Linked DNA regions of Drosophila melanogaster. The protein of the gene in region 1 interacts with the protein of each later gene in a biochemical or structural test. Each region holds a gene or a part of one and is shown on either strand. Other genes may lie near its edges.

The links.
Region 2: the proteins of Trc8 (region 1) and Vhl form a complex in vitro, tested with the Drosophila melanogaster proteins (one study listed by BioGRID).
Region 3: the proteins of Trc8 (region 1) and CSN5 form a complex in vitro, tested with the Drosophila melanogaster proteins (2 studies listed by BioGRID).

The regions. Positions count from the first base shown.
Region 1 is NT_033777.3:29,498,385-29,505,114, reverse strand, and holds Trc8 (TRC8 ring finger protein), read left to right. Parts: upstream 1-1,565; 5' UTR 1,566-1,989; coding exon 1,990-2,386; intron 2,387-2,841; coding exon 2,842-3,412; intron 3,413-3,626; coding exon 3,627-4,164; intron 4,165-4,221; coding exon 4,222-4,396; intron 4,397-4,601; coding exon 4,602-4,798; intron 4,799-4,856; coding exon 4,857-5,057; intron 5,058-5,122; coding exon 5,123-5,473; 3' UTR 5,474-6,090; downstream 6,091-6,730. Other genes in the region: FipoQ (F-box involved in polyQ pathogenesis), read right to left, coding at 6,417-6,552, 6,612-6,730. UniProt on the Drosophila melanogaster protein: Plays a role in growth inhibition that is dependent upon COP9 signalosome subunits CSN5 and CSN6. May modulate signalosome levels or compartmentalization. Probably functions in the same or a related pathway to VHL during early midline development.
Region 2 is NT_033778.4:11,277,676-11,281,583, reverse strand, and holds Vhl (von Hippel-Lindau), read right to left. Parts: upstream 1,860-3,908; 5' UTR 1,707-1,859; coding exon 1,170-1,706; 3' UTR 551-1,169; downstream 1-550. Other genes in the region: CG9062 (uncharacterized protein), read left to right, coding at 1-146, 205-310, 434-477; CG9067 (uncharacterized protein), read left to right, coding at 1,989-2,021, 2,076-2,245, 2,306-2,393, 2,459-2,538, 2,603-2,648; Cpr47Eg (cuticular protein 47Eg), read left to right, coding at 3,178-3,189, 3,258-3,599. UniProt on the Drosophila melanogaster protein: Involved in development of tracheal vasculature. Probably involved in halting cell migration at the end of vascular tube outgrowth.
Region 3 is NT_033777.3:16,468,267-16,472,002, reverse strand, and holds CSN5 (COP9 signalosome subunit 5), read right to left. Parts: upstream 1,905-3,736; 5' UTR 1,825-1,904; coding exon 1,564-1,824; intron 1,511-1,563; coding exon 934-1,510; intron 875-933; coding exon 729-874; 3' UTR 597-728; downstream 1-596. Other genes in the region: CG42232 (uncharacterized protein), read left to right, coding at 2,596-2,769, 2,832-3,053, 3,127-3,170, 3,328-3,736. UniProt on the Drosophila melanogaster protein: Probable protease subunit of the COP9 signalosome complex (CSN), a complex involved in various cellular and developmental processes.

The DNA.
Region 1 (6,730 bases):
TGCCGATTAGAACTGGAGCGATAAATTATACAATTGCCGTGCGTGAGACCCGCGAAGAGAGCGGATCCTGGATGCTTGGAGCCATCGAACTGGGCTCCCAGTAGCCCAGCGATTCCCCCGGCTCATTGCGCTGACAATTACACTGATTATGTTGAATATATGAGGCCCATATTGGGCGGCCAGTGCCTCGGGGAGTGTTAGCTATTCGTCCACGTCCTGCCAAAATGGAATTCAAATCGCCAGTGCGCACATTGCAGCCCCACGAAGTATGCAACACAAAACGCCAGCCCAAAACTTCAGAAAACTATGCAAATTAGCGGAATAAATAAAAACGAATATTGCATAAACTTTAGACACTCTCAAAGTTGAAAATGATCGTGGTTATCTAACACTAATTTGGGTGAATTTTTACTATAATATAATAACAATAGTAATAGTGAATGTATCATTACTACTACTACAACTAAAAGAAGTACTCGTAGCTCACACAAAAAATTCGACAAACATGCATTCCTCGTCTGTTTGTTTTGTTATGACCTGTGCAGTTTGTTTAAAATTCTTGTGGCGCGGCATGAAAAATCAATTATGTTAGTTGAACTTTCCTAGCTAAACGCTAAACAATTGCGCATAATTACGAGCGTTGCGTTGGGGACGAAACCAAAACGAAACCCAAATGCGGACTGCATCGCATTTGCCGTTGCCGTTGCCTCAATTTGTGCATTTGCATAGCAAAAAGGGTTGTGGATTTCGGTGGGGGGAGTGGGGCTTCTTCCAGGGGCTGTGTGCCACAAAACAAGAAAGAACAACAATTAAGGTGGCAAATGGCAAAAGTTAATGGCCGAACAATTGAGGAAATTCACGTAAATGACTTCGGGGCCCTGCGGATACGGATTGGATTGGAATTGGGCGCATTCGCAAGAATGCAGGAAATGTTCGCTTTTAGAACTAGAAACTGCGGGCATTTCGGGAAATATGAGCAGAGGAAATGTTTTAAGGGGTTTGCTCGTTCCTCTGTAAGCATAATGTTAAATGAAATACCTTACGTAATCGGATATTCTAGCCTGCTAGTTATTACTTTTTGGATTCAGCACAAATTTAAATTTCGTAGACAGCGCGCCAAGTTAACAGCAGCACTAGTCAACACTGGACATATCAGTTAACAGCTCTGTTAACACCAGCCTAGGCTGTATATTGAGTGAATGTAAAACTGTAACTATTAGAAACTAAATAGTAAATGCAGTTAAATGTTTCAACAATAACTGAAGCAACAAGTCGTAACCAAATTGCTACCCAAACCTCAATCGGCTTCAAGTTAAAGTAAACTCTGCCCAATAGTGTCTCTCTATCGCACACAGAAGGCTAGACCAGACCCTTTAGAACGTAGTTTTTGAACAGAATACCTAAAATTACCAGTACCCCAGACCGACACGCAGCAACACGCGCCGTTTCGCGGCTCAAAGGCAGAGGGAATTTTCAAAAAGCGCGCCACACGATCAGCTGGCAACGACAATCGATAGTCCGGCGAAAGCAGGGCCGCGGGGCAGCACTGGCGACCGCAGCGATAGGCAGCAGCACCAATCGATAGATGGGCCGCTGAAGAAGGAGGAGAAGCAGAGGAGAAAAACAAAAACCAATTGTGAAAAGTGTAAAGTTTAGAGCGCAGCGCAATTGTGTGGCCAAAAGCGGAGCATAAACGAGCAGCCTGCCGCAACGACCTTTTCCACGACGCGCCAGCGGGAATTTGCACCTGCTGCATGCGAACGCACACACACACGCACCCACACACTCACGCAGCCAAATCGTCATTCCGTCGTCTATTTTTTGTTTTTTTGCGAAATCCAAGACGAAGGCGAATCCACAACAAATGCAGATTGGAGCTCGATTGGCTCGCGATTAGTGCCTAGTCACGCGGGATCAGCAAAGCAAAGCGAGGAGGCCAAAAGCCCGGAGAAGGATACGGGATACGGTTACGGATACATATAGGGAGCCATGTCCGTGCGGACGAAGGTTCTCGGCCTGGTGGACGTGATGATGCGCGTGCCACCGGTGATGGTCATCGATGAGATACTAAAGATGGACATGGGCATGCAGTCGTGGCTCTATCCGGACAAGGACAAGGCCAGTGGCGCACTTGCTACGCCCACAGAAGCGCCAGCGGTGCCATCCGGCCAGGATCCGTTCACCAGCATAAAGGAGTTGTTCTCCCACATGACCACCTCCGCCCAATCTGTGCTGGAACAGAGCATCGAGAAGGCCTCCGAGGCGGCCAAAACGCACGGCATGCTCAGCTCCGGTTTCAACTCGCTGATGAACGAGCTGTCCAAGGACCAAACACTGGCGGATGTGCTCAGCACCACCACGGTCAAGTTCGTTTTATGCGTGTTCGGTGAGTCATCTACAGGGGTTGCGCTTAGAACGGTCACATCTATATATCTGCTTAGAATTCTAATGCTCAGCATATAAGGTCAGGGATGAGATTTAACTACATTTAACTACACGTCATGGTCAAGGATTAGTCAGTAACTTTCATAATAACTTAGATATGAGTTAAATTGAGATAACAAGTAATCGCAGAATCGAATATAATGCTTACTCAAGCAAAAAGGCCATGTATGTATATGAATGAATAGTTAGTTACCCCTTAAAAAGCGTGAATTGCAAGCTTGAGCATTCCCATTGAACCCAAAACGTAAACACAGGCAATTAAGTTATTTCGAGTTCATTGTTTTCGATCTGCCTGCGAAGTCATCCAGAATTCCAAGGGCCGCTTATTGGGCGCACTTTGAACGCCAGCGAAACGTAGATATATGCCTGACTCACAATCTGTGTGCTTTCTTGCAGCTTTCCTATCCGCCGCGTGCATCTTCATGCTGTGGACCCGGCACCTGGTGATGGTCTACATGTTCCTCACCTCGCTGGGCCTCACCTTCCTGTCCTACTGGTCGAACGTGAGTGCGCTGGCGCTGACGGAGCGCAGTCCCAGCATGGTGGAGGACCTCATGTCACTGAACACCACTAGGCTGCTGGACTCGGGCGGGGTGGTCATGTCGCTGGCGCCGCATCTGATGGCCCAGTGGTTCATGGGCATGCTGTTCGCCTACATTCACCTGGGACCGAGGTTCGAACATGTCCAGAGATCGATGCCCATCATCTTCGCTAGTCCAATTCTGTTGGCCATGCTGCCGCTGCCGGCGAAGGTGGTGCAACACCTGCCCGTGGTGGCCGTTTTCACGCCCATCATCCTCACGAAGATCACGCTGATGCAGAGCGCCATGGAGGCCAGTCGCACGGTCTACAACGGATACCAGTACGCCATGAACTTTGTGTCCAACTTTGGACTGTCGGCGCTCATTGAAAACGAATGGCAGAGGCTCAATGTGCCCAACGTTCTGAGGGTTTTTTGGACCATCAGGTGGGTTTCGTTTCCGAAGCGGTTCATTAATTTATGTTAATCATGCACGTGGAACATTCTAATTCTTGCATTTGGAGCGTTAATGTGTCAATGGAACAAGGCCATCAATCACAGAATTGAATATCCATTCCGAGACTTATGTTATTAATGGCCGAAGCAAACGGATTAACTGGTTTAAATGCATAATGATCGAATAGAACACCCTGCTTTTCAGACTAATCCAAGGCGGCTATGCCCTGGCCACGACGGAATCGGATGAGCCCCTGGATCTAATGACGGCCACACAGAAGCTGCTGGTCGACGGCTGTGAGACTATGACGGCGGTGCTGGGCATGACGGGCGTCATCTCGATGTTCTGCCACTACATCGGACGCGGCTTCCAGTGGTACCTGCTCACCTACGACGACGAGGAGAAGTCGCTGGGCACTGTCTCCGCAGTGCTCTTCTACATCCTCGCTCTGCAGACGGGCCTGACCTCACTGTCGCCGGACAAACGCTTCATCAGGCTGTGCCGCAATCTGTGCCTGCTGATGACCGCTCTGCTGCACTTCCTGCACAACATCGTGTCGCCCATCTTGATGTCGCTCAGTGCGGCACGGAATCCCTCGCGGAAGCGCCATGTGCGCGCCCTCTCCGTCTGCGCGTTCCTCGTGGTGTTGTCAGTGTCTCTGCTCTACCACCTCTGGTCGCAGCAATCCATCTCCACCTGGCTGCTAGCGGTTACCGCCTTCTCTGTGGAGGTCGTCGTCAAGGTGCGTGCGAATGCGATATGTACGCTTCAAGAGCTACAGCTACTACTTCTCCCGCAGGTTCTCGTTTCGCTGGCCACCTACACGCTCTTCCTGCTGGACGCGCGTCGGCAGTTCTTCTGGGAGAAGCTGGACGACTACCTGTACTATGTGCGCGCGTTCGGCAACTCAGTGGAGTTCTGCTTCGGCATCCTGCTGTTCATCAACGGTGCTTGGATTCTGATCTTCGAGTCTGGTAAGTTGGAGCGCAGCGTGTCCCGTCCTTGTTACATTAGCACATCAGTAAGCGCGAGTGATCATCACCGCATTCCATTGGCATCTGATCTAGCCATCTCGATATCATCGAGCCCATATTGTCCGCGTCCAGCTTTTCTGTTCTATGTGTGCATGTAATATTTTTATTTGGTTGATTTTGTGTACCGATAACTATAACTTGATAGCCCAAAATGCTACAGGCGGCGGCATCAGAGCGATCATGATGTGCATCCACGCCTACTTCAATATCTGGTGCGAGGCGCGGGCGGGCTGGTCGGTCTTCATGAAGCGGCGTTCGGCGGTCCACAAGATCTCAGCCCTGCCAGAGGCAACTCCCGCCCAGCTGCAGGCATTCGACGATGTCTGCGCCATCTGCTATCAGGTGCGTATTGTATTGTATTGCATGCAATATTGCACGTGACTCAACTATCGTTTTGCAGGAAATGTATTCCGCCAAGATCACGCGGTGTCGCCACTTCTTCCACGGCGTTTGCCTGCGCAAATGGCTGTACGTTCAGGATCGTTGCCCCCTGTGCCACGAGATCATGATGTACACGGACAAGGCGGATGAGAATGCGCCGGAGGCGGAGCCAGCGCCAGCTGCCCAGGCCGAGCAGCCGATGCGGATATACCCGCGAGACGTGAGTAACAAATGGGGATACTCTGTTGTTAGTCTCAATGTACATCTATTCCCTTGAACATGCAGGACGCCAACAACGCAGCTGCGCAGCGACGCTCTCCGGAGCGTGCTCCAGTCGAAGCATCAGAACAGGCGCCCGCCACCAGCTCCTCCAGCGCAGCGGCGACAATCGGGGCGGAGGCAGTGTCGGCCATCGTGGAGTCGGCAGCGGCTGTGGGCGAGGCGCGTTCGCTGGTCAGCGTAGCCAGCAGCAGCAGCGCCACTCACCGAATCAGCGCCAGCGGGAGCAGCGACAGCAGCTACATGACCGCATCCGCCCAATCGCCGCCGCCGACGGCCACCTCGGCTGCTGCTGTGGCCACGGCGGCGGCCAGCAATACGACGCACATGTTCCGGATGTCGCAGGACCAGCAGTAGTCGCATATAGGGTAGGCTAGGACCGAATCGAACGGAACGGGAGCGCTCGGCGTACCTTGCGTTTCTTATATATATATATATCTTACGACTTGGAAACGTTCTGTGCGTTAGTGTACTTATGTATAAATGCAAATCTTTGTAGCGACCCAAGGCTTCTCTATTCCCCCTGCCCAAAGAGCAATCTATTCGTAACACACCAGCACACCAATGCCCAGCACTCGACCACAGCACCCACCTTCGATCCTATATCGTCATAGGCACAGACATTACGTATGTATAACTCACGCAGCTATGCTTAACTAAATTATATACCATGCATATAATAGCTGAACGCTGATCGGCAATGAGACGATAATTCAAACGGAGATGATCTACATATGTACGTTAAGTTTATGGTAAAAAGTCGATTCAAAAATGTTGAAACATACACACACAAAAAAAAAATTAAATTAGCATTAAGTTTGCAATGGATGAAAGCAGTGTAAAAATCATCAGCAAAACGCTAAAACGCAAAAACGATAAACATTTTATGTGGTGAAGTCTGAAAATGATTTAATCAAGTTACCAAGTAAATCTAGTTAAAAACAAAACACGAATCAACGCGGATTGAAATGATTAAAAAAAAAAAAAAAATGATTTAAAAACGAGAGCAAGGCGAAAAGTTGCGTTGTATAATTTTGTAATGTAAAAATAACTTGTATAAGCAAATCCTTGTTTTGTTTTTATTTAAATTACCTATGTACGTTTATTTAGATTTAAAGTAATTAAACGAAAGAAGCGGAAAATACAGAAAACATTAAAACACTCTTATTGTAAGCGAAAACACACAGAAACATTGCTTCTCCTCCGGCCCTGTTGTGGGTAAATCCCATCCAGAGCTCTGCAACCGGGTAAGTGCAAGCTACCAATCCTCTCTTGGCTTTCAGCTCTGAACCTCAGAGGCTCAGTTGAAAATCAAATCGTTGTAGTTGCGGAGCAGGTGATAGGGAGACACACGGCAGCAGGTGGTGGTGCGCACCACGGTGATGCGATCGGCACGCTCAAAGTTGGCCTTGACCGTCTCATAGTAGCGACCATCGCTGGAAGCGAAATATTGATGTTAATCCCGCATAGAAATAGGAGTCTGATGTAGACCCACCTGAGCACCATGCAGCGCAGCTTGAGGCACTTGACGCGCAGAATATCGATGGCCTTCTGGCTCTTGTCGGAGAAGCGCAGGTTGTCCGGATCCCAGCGCAGCTCCAGCCGCTCCAAGTT
Region 2 (3,908 bases), on another chromosome or scaffold:
ACGTGCTTGAAAAGGTGCTGAATGCGGAAACTACCCCAAGTGGGGGCAATGCTAACAATTCACTGCAGAATAGCCAGAGCGATGCTAATTCGGAGGGATCCCAACTGCCAGCTGAGGAACGAATTGAACTGTGGTGTAACGATGTGGTAAGACAAATGGACAAATCTCATTTAAAGGACCTTGTTCACCGCCTTTCCTTTAAAGGTTGTGGACCCCAACATGGACCTGCGCACGGTGCGCCACTTTATCTGGAAGCAGTCGACCGATCTAACGTTTCAGTACAAGACCAAACAGAATTTCAACTACGATGGTAAATAAGAGAGCCCACGCATTGAACAACACAAGAACACCTATCACAAACACAACGCATACTTGATTTCTGCAATTGCTATTGCCTAACCGAGAGTTGTGCTTATATATATCCGCCCCATAGGTTCGATCGGGGATAGCTTGGAGCGCGTGACGCGCAAGTATTGAACGCTGGCAAGTGATCTCCCGCCTAACCGAAGCAGTACCGATGCATTATTGAATGAGAACGAGATTGAGCAGATCGATTAACAATTTATATTTTTATAAGTTGATTTTGCAATATATTTGAGTTAACCTGCGATTCGTCTCATCTCTTCTCGACTCGACTCGTGGACAAACACAAACACATTCAAGGAGAATCTGTACGAGCGTTAACTTTAAATTTAAAAGTGCACCGGAGTACTTTTGTTTGTTCACTTCTCGTTAGGAATAAATATGTACTTCAGATTCAGACTTATAACAATTAGGCTTGCGACACACGTAGATAAGCATTGCAAAGGAGTAACTGCAGACATACCATTAAATCGTATTTGCATCTGAAGCAACTAGACCTAGAGTATTGCGCATATATGTATGTATGTAATATTCACACTTGTTTCACATTAGGTTTATACATAATTATTTACATAGAACATACATAGGTATAAGAAATCTGTTAAATATACAGAAAAATCAATGCAATGGTAGTAGCCCAACTTGTAAAGAGCTCTATGCAAGCCAATTTGTACATAAGTAATAAGCGAAAATCGAAAACCAGGATGGAAATCAATTAAAGTTATTAAATTATTTGGAAATCAAGCCTGTCTCTCAGTCCCTAAGATGATTACCCGCCCTCTTAACTAACAACTAGGAGTGTGCTCCTAACGCCGACGTCGCGTGCCCGCCACTCGGGAATAGGACTCGATGCAGGTCAGCAGGCTGAGCAGCTGTTGCTTCAGCGTCGAGGGTATGTGGTATCCGTGGATAATCCTCCGTGGCGCGTTGCTCGTCCGGATCAGCCAGCGGGCGACCAGCCAGAGGCAGTTTTCGCGCAGCGATCTCATCGGAAAGTGGATCAGCACTTCGCTGCGTACGTCAACCAGCTGATCCGGACTCTGCTGGCTCTTGGGTACCCGCACCCGAATCGGCTGAAAGATCCTCTGCGAGCGTACGTGCATCCGTTCGCCCGTGTAGTAATCCCGGAACAGCCAGCTGTGTGTGGTGAACGTGTTCACCCGCACCTCCTCGAAGGGCTTGAGGGTAAGGTACATGTTCTCCCGCTCCCGCTCGCACACCCAGTACAGATCCAGGGTGCGATAGGTGGTGTTTGCAAACAGCACGTACACCTCCACCTTTCCCTGATCAGCGCCCACCAGCTGCTGGCCGTCGCGGTTGTTCTGCGCTATTTGGAGCGCCATCTCCAGCAGGGTGCTAAGCCGATCTGCAATGGCTGCCAAATCAATTTTCGTTGTTTTACGTTTGCACAAGCCGTGGGAATTGGATTGAATCAAATCACAACAAGCTAACAACAAGTATAGATAAAATTCACTTCTTATCAGTTACGGTAACATTTTTCCTGCTGCGTGTCACTGCAGCTGGCCACACTTTCGATGAATGTCTTATCGATAAGGGGTAAATCAGCTGATTTGCCTCCGCCTCTCGCGAAAAGTAAACAAATAAACACCAAGAAATAACAAAATATGGCATTTTGCATAGCAGTTATTGGCAAGGATGTGAGTTTTATTTTTCATTTGAATACAATTAATTGCATGACAAATTCCCCACAGAACGCCCCCCTGTACCTGACCACATCCGATATGGAGCAGGAACTGGAATTGCAATATCATGTTAACGCCGCCTTAGACGTCGTGGAGGAGAAGTGCCTGATTGGCAAGGGTGCTCCGGAGTCCAAGGAGCTGTACCTGGGACTGCTCTACTCGACAGAGAACCACAAAATGTACTTGGGTGTAGTTATGCTGGTGAATTTGCAACTGATTGGTGGTTGATTTCATTACAGATACGGCTTTGTGACCAACACTCGGGTGAAATTCATAGTGGTCATCGACTCCAGCAACGTTGCCCTTCGGGAAAACGAAGTTCGAGCAGTGGGTATCCAATCTAACTATCTAAATGAAAGCCCCAAATACCTCCTACCCTCTGTATCTTCCAGATCTTCCGAAATCTCCACTTGCTCTACACCGATGCCATCTGCAATCCCTTTTACATTCCCGGCGAATCGCTGACTTCAAAGTAAGCGGGCTTCTCCTTAAAGAATATATAAGTTGCTCTTAATACGTTACTTTTATATCTGCAGGAAGTTCGATCGCGCTGTCCAGAAACTGATGAGCGGCACTGCCTAGCTGTAGATTAATACTGAACGAATAATAAAGCGAATTATTTATCAAATGCATACGTCTTTCTAGGAGGGATGTCAAGGTGGCCTGGCCAAGTGCCCGCTCCAAGCTAGACTCAAGAGAGATACGCACCGGAGATACGCAAACCGGTCGTTGGCTGGCTAGCCGTAGCCAAATATTATGCTAATTCGACATTTTTGACAAAAATAATTCGAGAATTAATTATATCTTTACAATGTGTCTGCTAGTTGACACATAGTTAGTTAATGTCTCCGCGTCAAACTCGTCTTCCGTCTGTTTCGGGCATTATTATGGGATTCAATGCGAACTTTAACTGAACGGCAATAACGAGGCACACATAAACATGTATTTTGTCTTATCTAATGCATAATTAATGAAATCAAATCCTACGCGTCTCTAGACTTGAACTTGGGCGCCACCGGCAGAGGTAAGCTGAGCATCAGTATCATATAAAAAGCAGGCAGAAGTTCCAGTTCGATATCAGTTAGCCTTCTCAAGTCTTTCAACAATCAACATGAAGTTCTTCGTAAGTGGCTTTATCGCAAATTGATCCTTTAATGATTCTAGCTGATTTGTTATTTACAATCCTTGTAGATTGCTTTCGCCTGCCTGTTGGCCGTCGCCCTCGCCAACGAAGATGCCAATGTTCTCCGTGCCGAGCAGCAAGTGAATGTTGACGGCTTTGCTTACGCTGTTGAGCTGGACAACTCTGTCAATGTGCAACAGAAGGGTGACCTTAACGGCGAAGAGTGGGTGGTGAAGGGAAGCCAGTCGTGGACATCTCCCGAAAATGTGCCAGTGTCCATCCAATATATCGCCGATGCCAACGGTTACCAGGTGGTGTCTGCCAACCCTCCTCTGCCCACCCCACCACCAATTCCAGAGGCCATCCAGCGTTCTCTGGAGTACATCGCCGCCCACCCCCCAAGTCAATAAATAATGTTAAATAAATGTGTTGAACTTTACTTTCCTAGACTTTTAATTTCTTCCCAAAAGGACTGTCGCTTCTTAAACCGAGTAGACAAACATATATACGCATCGTATTAGCGGACAGAAACTTGTTGGTCAGGGTCTACCAGACGGATGAATTATATTAGTACGTAATATGTATGGGTCTGACAGATGAACATTGTACCCAAACGCCATGCTGCCCCTGAACTCGGGGTCGTTCAGTTTTCACTTTCGATTTAGGATCACTTAGGAGCTGTTACTTTAGGATCACTGTTACGTAATCACGTTTTTTAC
Region 3 (3,736 bases), about 13 Mb from region 1:
CGTGCTGGAAGGGCGTTGACATCTCACTTGTAGCTCTCGCTCCCAGGAGCAGACAGTAGACTACGGGTCTGTCAGGGAAACCCTAGAGCCCATCGGCAAACACGCAATCGGGGAATACAAGTTGTAAAATAAACCAAACGATGAAAATAATGAAACCATTTGATTGATGAGAGGGACGCATTCGCGGCTTGGCTTGTATAGCTAACCAGGCTGTGTAATATTTACTTTAAAAATCCCGAAGCAATTAGGGAATGTTTCAGTCGGTGGGCTTCAGTTGTTGCTTTGAGACCGGCTCGGGTTACATAATTCTAGACCAATTGATTTACCCAAGCATCACATTTTCGACAATGTTTTATCGCCATGTCCAATTATTTTATATTCTATAAATGTCAAATGCAGAAGCGTTTTTTATTTAACAATAAAAAGGTTTGTTTATCTGAAAGAATATAATAAATGGTGGATCGGCTGTTTTTCGTCCAGGCGAATAAAAGTTTCAACTTTTACTATGCCTTCCGTCGTCTAATACATAAATAACGAAAACAGTTTCTCTACAAAAAAGAACCCATTTTAAAAGTAAAAGCGTTTGAGATTTTTTTCATCAGCCTATGAGGCGGTTTTATAATTTCCTTTTTCTTTTGGATAAGCTTGACTTACTTAAATATTTCCCAGGGAAATGAAAAGAAAATTCACAATGCATTTTAAAATTCATTGCGAATTTTAGTGTTGAACTATTTGCCCAGTCCGACCTTGTTGAAAAGTTTGTCCTTAACAATCTGAGCCATCAAGCCGTGTATCAGTTCAATGGTGGAGCGGCTGCAGTCTCGGGTGGCCTTGGACAGCTTATCCTCCGAACGCTTCTCATTGACATCGGTTCCTGTGGATAATAAAGCGGGTAAATTATTTGCACAATTCCTAAATCGACCCATTATGTACCGCGACCTAAAAAGTTCTCACTCTGCTCCAGCTTCTCGGAGAGATCCATGATCTGACCGGTGGTGTACTCTGTGTTGGTGAGCAGACCCGAGCTGCCCAGTGTGTTTACCCAGTATTTGTTCCACAGAGAGTCGAGGAGCCTGCGGTCCAGAGCAGACTTGAAGTAGCTAATTTCCAAGGGATAGTACTGCTTGCAGTGGACTCCAAAGTCTTCGATCTTATTCAGCGGGATGGTCTGATACTCCGAGGGCTCCTCGTTTGGTGGCTTATAACCTTTTGGATACGTGCGGAATGCACCCAGACACACCTTGCCAGCGGAAACAGTGCGCACCGGATCAACCACAATGGCCACGAATGGCTCCTGGTATGTCTGGTTGAGCATCTGGGTGGACACATCGATGCCGGACAACCAGCAACCGTAACCGGGATGGCTGTGATACCAGCCCACGGCGTGTTCCATGCGTCCCACCTCTTTGGCCGCTTCCATGTAGGCGGTCATGTACTCGTACGCTTGTGCCTGGGCATTGACGCGGGTTTCAGTGCCCTCCACTGGCAGTGCAAATGCATCCATGACAATCTGCACGGGAATGACTTATAAATTGAGGACCTTTTTTACATTCAATAACTCACCATTGTGTTGTCCTCTACCTTGCCAAGCATTAGACCCATCACCTCCAAAGTACCGCCAGAGCGAGCGTGCATCACCATCTTTAGGAGCGCCAGAGCCGAGATCTTAATGTCCTTAAAGAAGTGGGGATCTTTCTCCCAGGGCTTCGCATCGATGATCTGCCGCTGCTGTTCGGCGTCGTAGCGAAAGATCTCGTCACAACTGGGCAACGTCTGGATGTTGTTCTCCAGCTCCCAGGTCTTTTGTGCGGCGTCGGAGTCCATTGTGATTGTACTTATGCCGAAAATTGTAGTCTTTTGTTGCAAGTTTTTGTTTTCCGGCTCAATTCTAGAGATGAACTTGTCGGTACCATCTGTACAATCAATTTCATGAAGGTACAATCGATATTTTTTATAAATCGATTATTATAAGTTAAGAAATTAAAATATTGATTAAAAAATTTAAAATTTATCTATATTAACAATTTATTTGTTTAATAAATAAAATGTATTTTTAATCGTTAATTTTTTACCAAGGAAAGTTTTTTAATTTAATTTTTCTGTTTACGATACGCACTCTAATTTGCAGCATTTTTGACTAAAAAAAACTTAAAACCTTATTTCATAGTGACAAAATGATTCATCGCAGTATCTGTAATCTGTATCTTTCTTTTCACTTCTTGAGATTAACCATTATTAATAATCACATAATATAAACCACTTTTAATTCAAGTAAGTTGTCAGTTCCTGCACCCCGAATTTTAAATGTAACGCATAAGCCGGCGCATTAAAAGCAGGTTGGCAGGGCTTGCGCGTCCATTGCAAAAAAATTCCTGCACAGAGTTTTCGCTACAATTAACTTTGGCAAGCTCGTGATGTGGGCCGTAAAAACAGTGTCTGGTGGAAAAGTGTGAAAGAAATCAGTGAATAGTTTGTGGGTGTTTTGTGTACGTGCATTTACCGTATTATTCCCAATAGCTTTGCGGCTTTTCAAAGTGCTCGCTTCGGTATTCGTTTTCCCCGCACCCAAGCCGCATTTGCGACGCCGCTTGGAAAATGTCGCTGGATGGCGGTAGGTTGCGCTACGAAGACGAAAATGGTAAAACCGTGGTTCTGGCAGCCAAAGGGCGCACCTTCCAGGTGGGCTCCTACTACAATTGCGACCTCATCCTGGAGGGGCCAGAGGAGGAGCGTCTAATTTGCGAAATAAACTGCGATGCCTTCGGCAGGGTGAGTCTGGATGGCAGGAATCCCCCTTAACCGCCCTAACATACTGCTTCTTCCGCCCTTAGGTCATCATATACAACAAGTCCAGCGGAGACCCCATTCATCTCAACGACGTGGCCATCCACGCTGCAGGCAAGCGTCCTTTGCTACACGGTGGCAAGATTACCATTCGAGACAAGGTCTACACGTGGGAGTTCCCCAAGACCTCCGAGGTGCAGGATGCCCCATGCACCCCAGAACGCCTATTGCCCAACGAACAGGCCTCAAACTCCTGCCCTTCATTGAAGGTAATAGCCGCCATCTGTTCCAGATAGTACAGTATTCCAAGTCCTACAATTTCCCCATTTTTATTTGATTTAGCAATCGCATCGTCTACAAGCCGAAAAACGCCTGACAGTTCACAAGTAAGTGAAAACAGCAGGCAGACCCCTAACCGACTACCTGGCCAACCCCTAAAATGTCTTTGGGCAACAACAATAGGAAAAAGTCCCTACTGCAAGCATGTGTTGTCTGCCTGTTAATAGTCCTCATAAAACCTTATCTCTGCTTATACCTTTTCAGTTTTCACTACAGCATCAATTCGGACGACGAAGGAAATACTTCTATAGAGTCTCGTGATCAGAGTGAGTCTCACTTGGAGGATGTCTCACTGAATGAATCAATTCAGCGCAGCACAGAGGAGACAGCTTACGAGTCCCCCAAAGTAAATCTTCTGGAGGCTACGCAGAATAAGGAGAATACCGCAACGCCACCAGGTAGCCACCAAAAGCTACTAAGGCTGTGCGCCATCTCCGACGTGGTTATTACCTCTTATTCGCCGCGCGAGACTGGCGTGAAGATCGAGAAATCCTTTTCATGTGTTCGAAAACCTGGCTACACCACGACGTCTTTGGCTGTTTCCACGCCCAAGAGCGTATACAGCACCCCCAAGGGCAATGTGCTCTCTGAACTAAACGAAGACAGCTGCAGC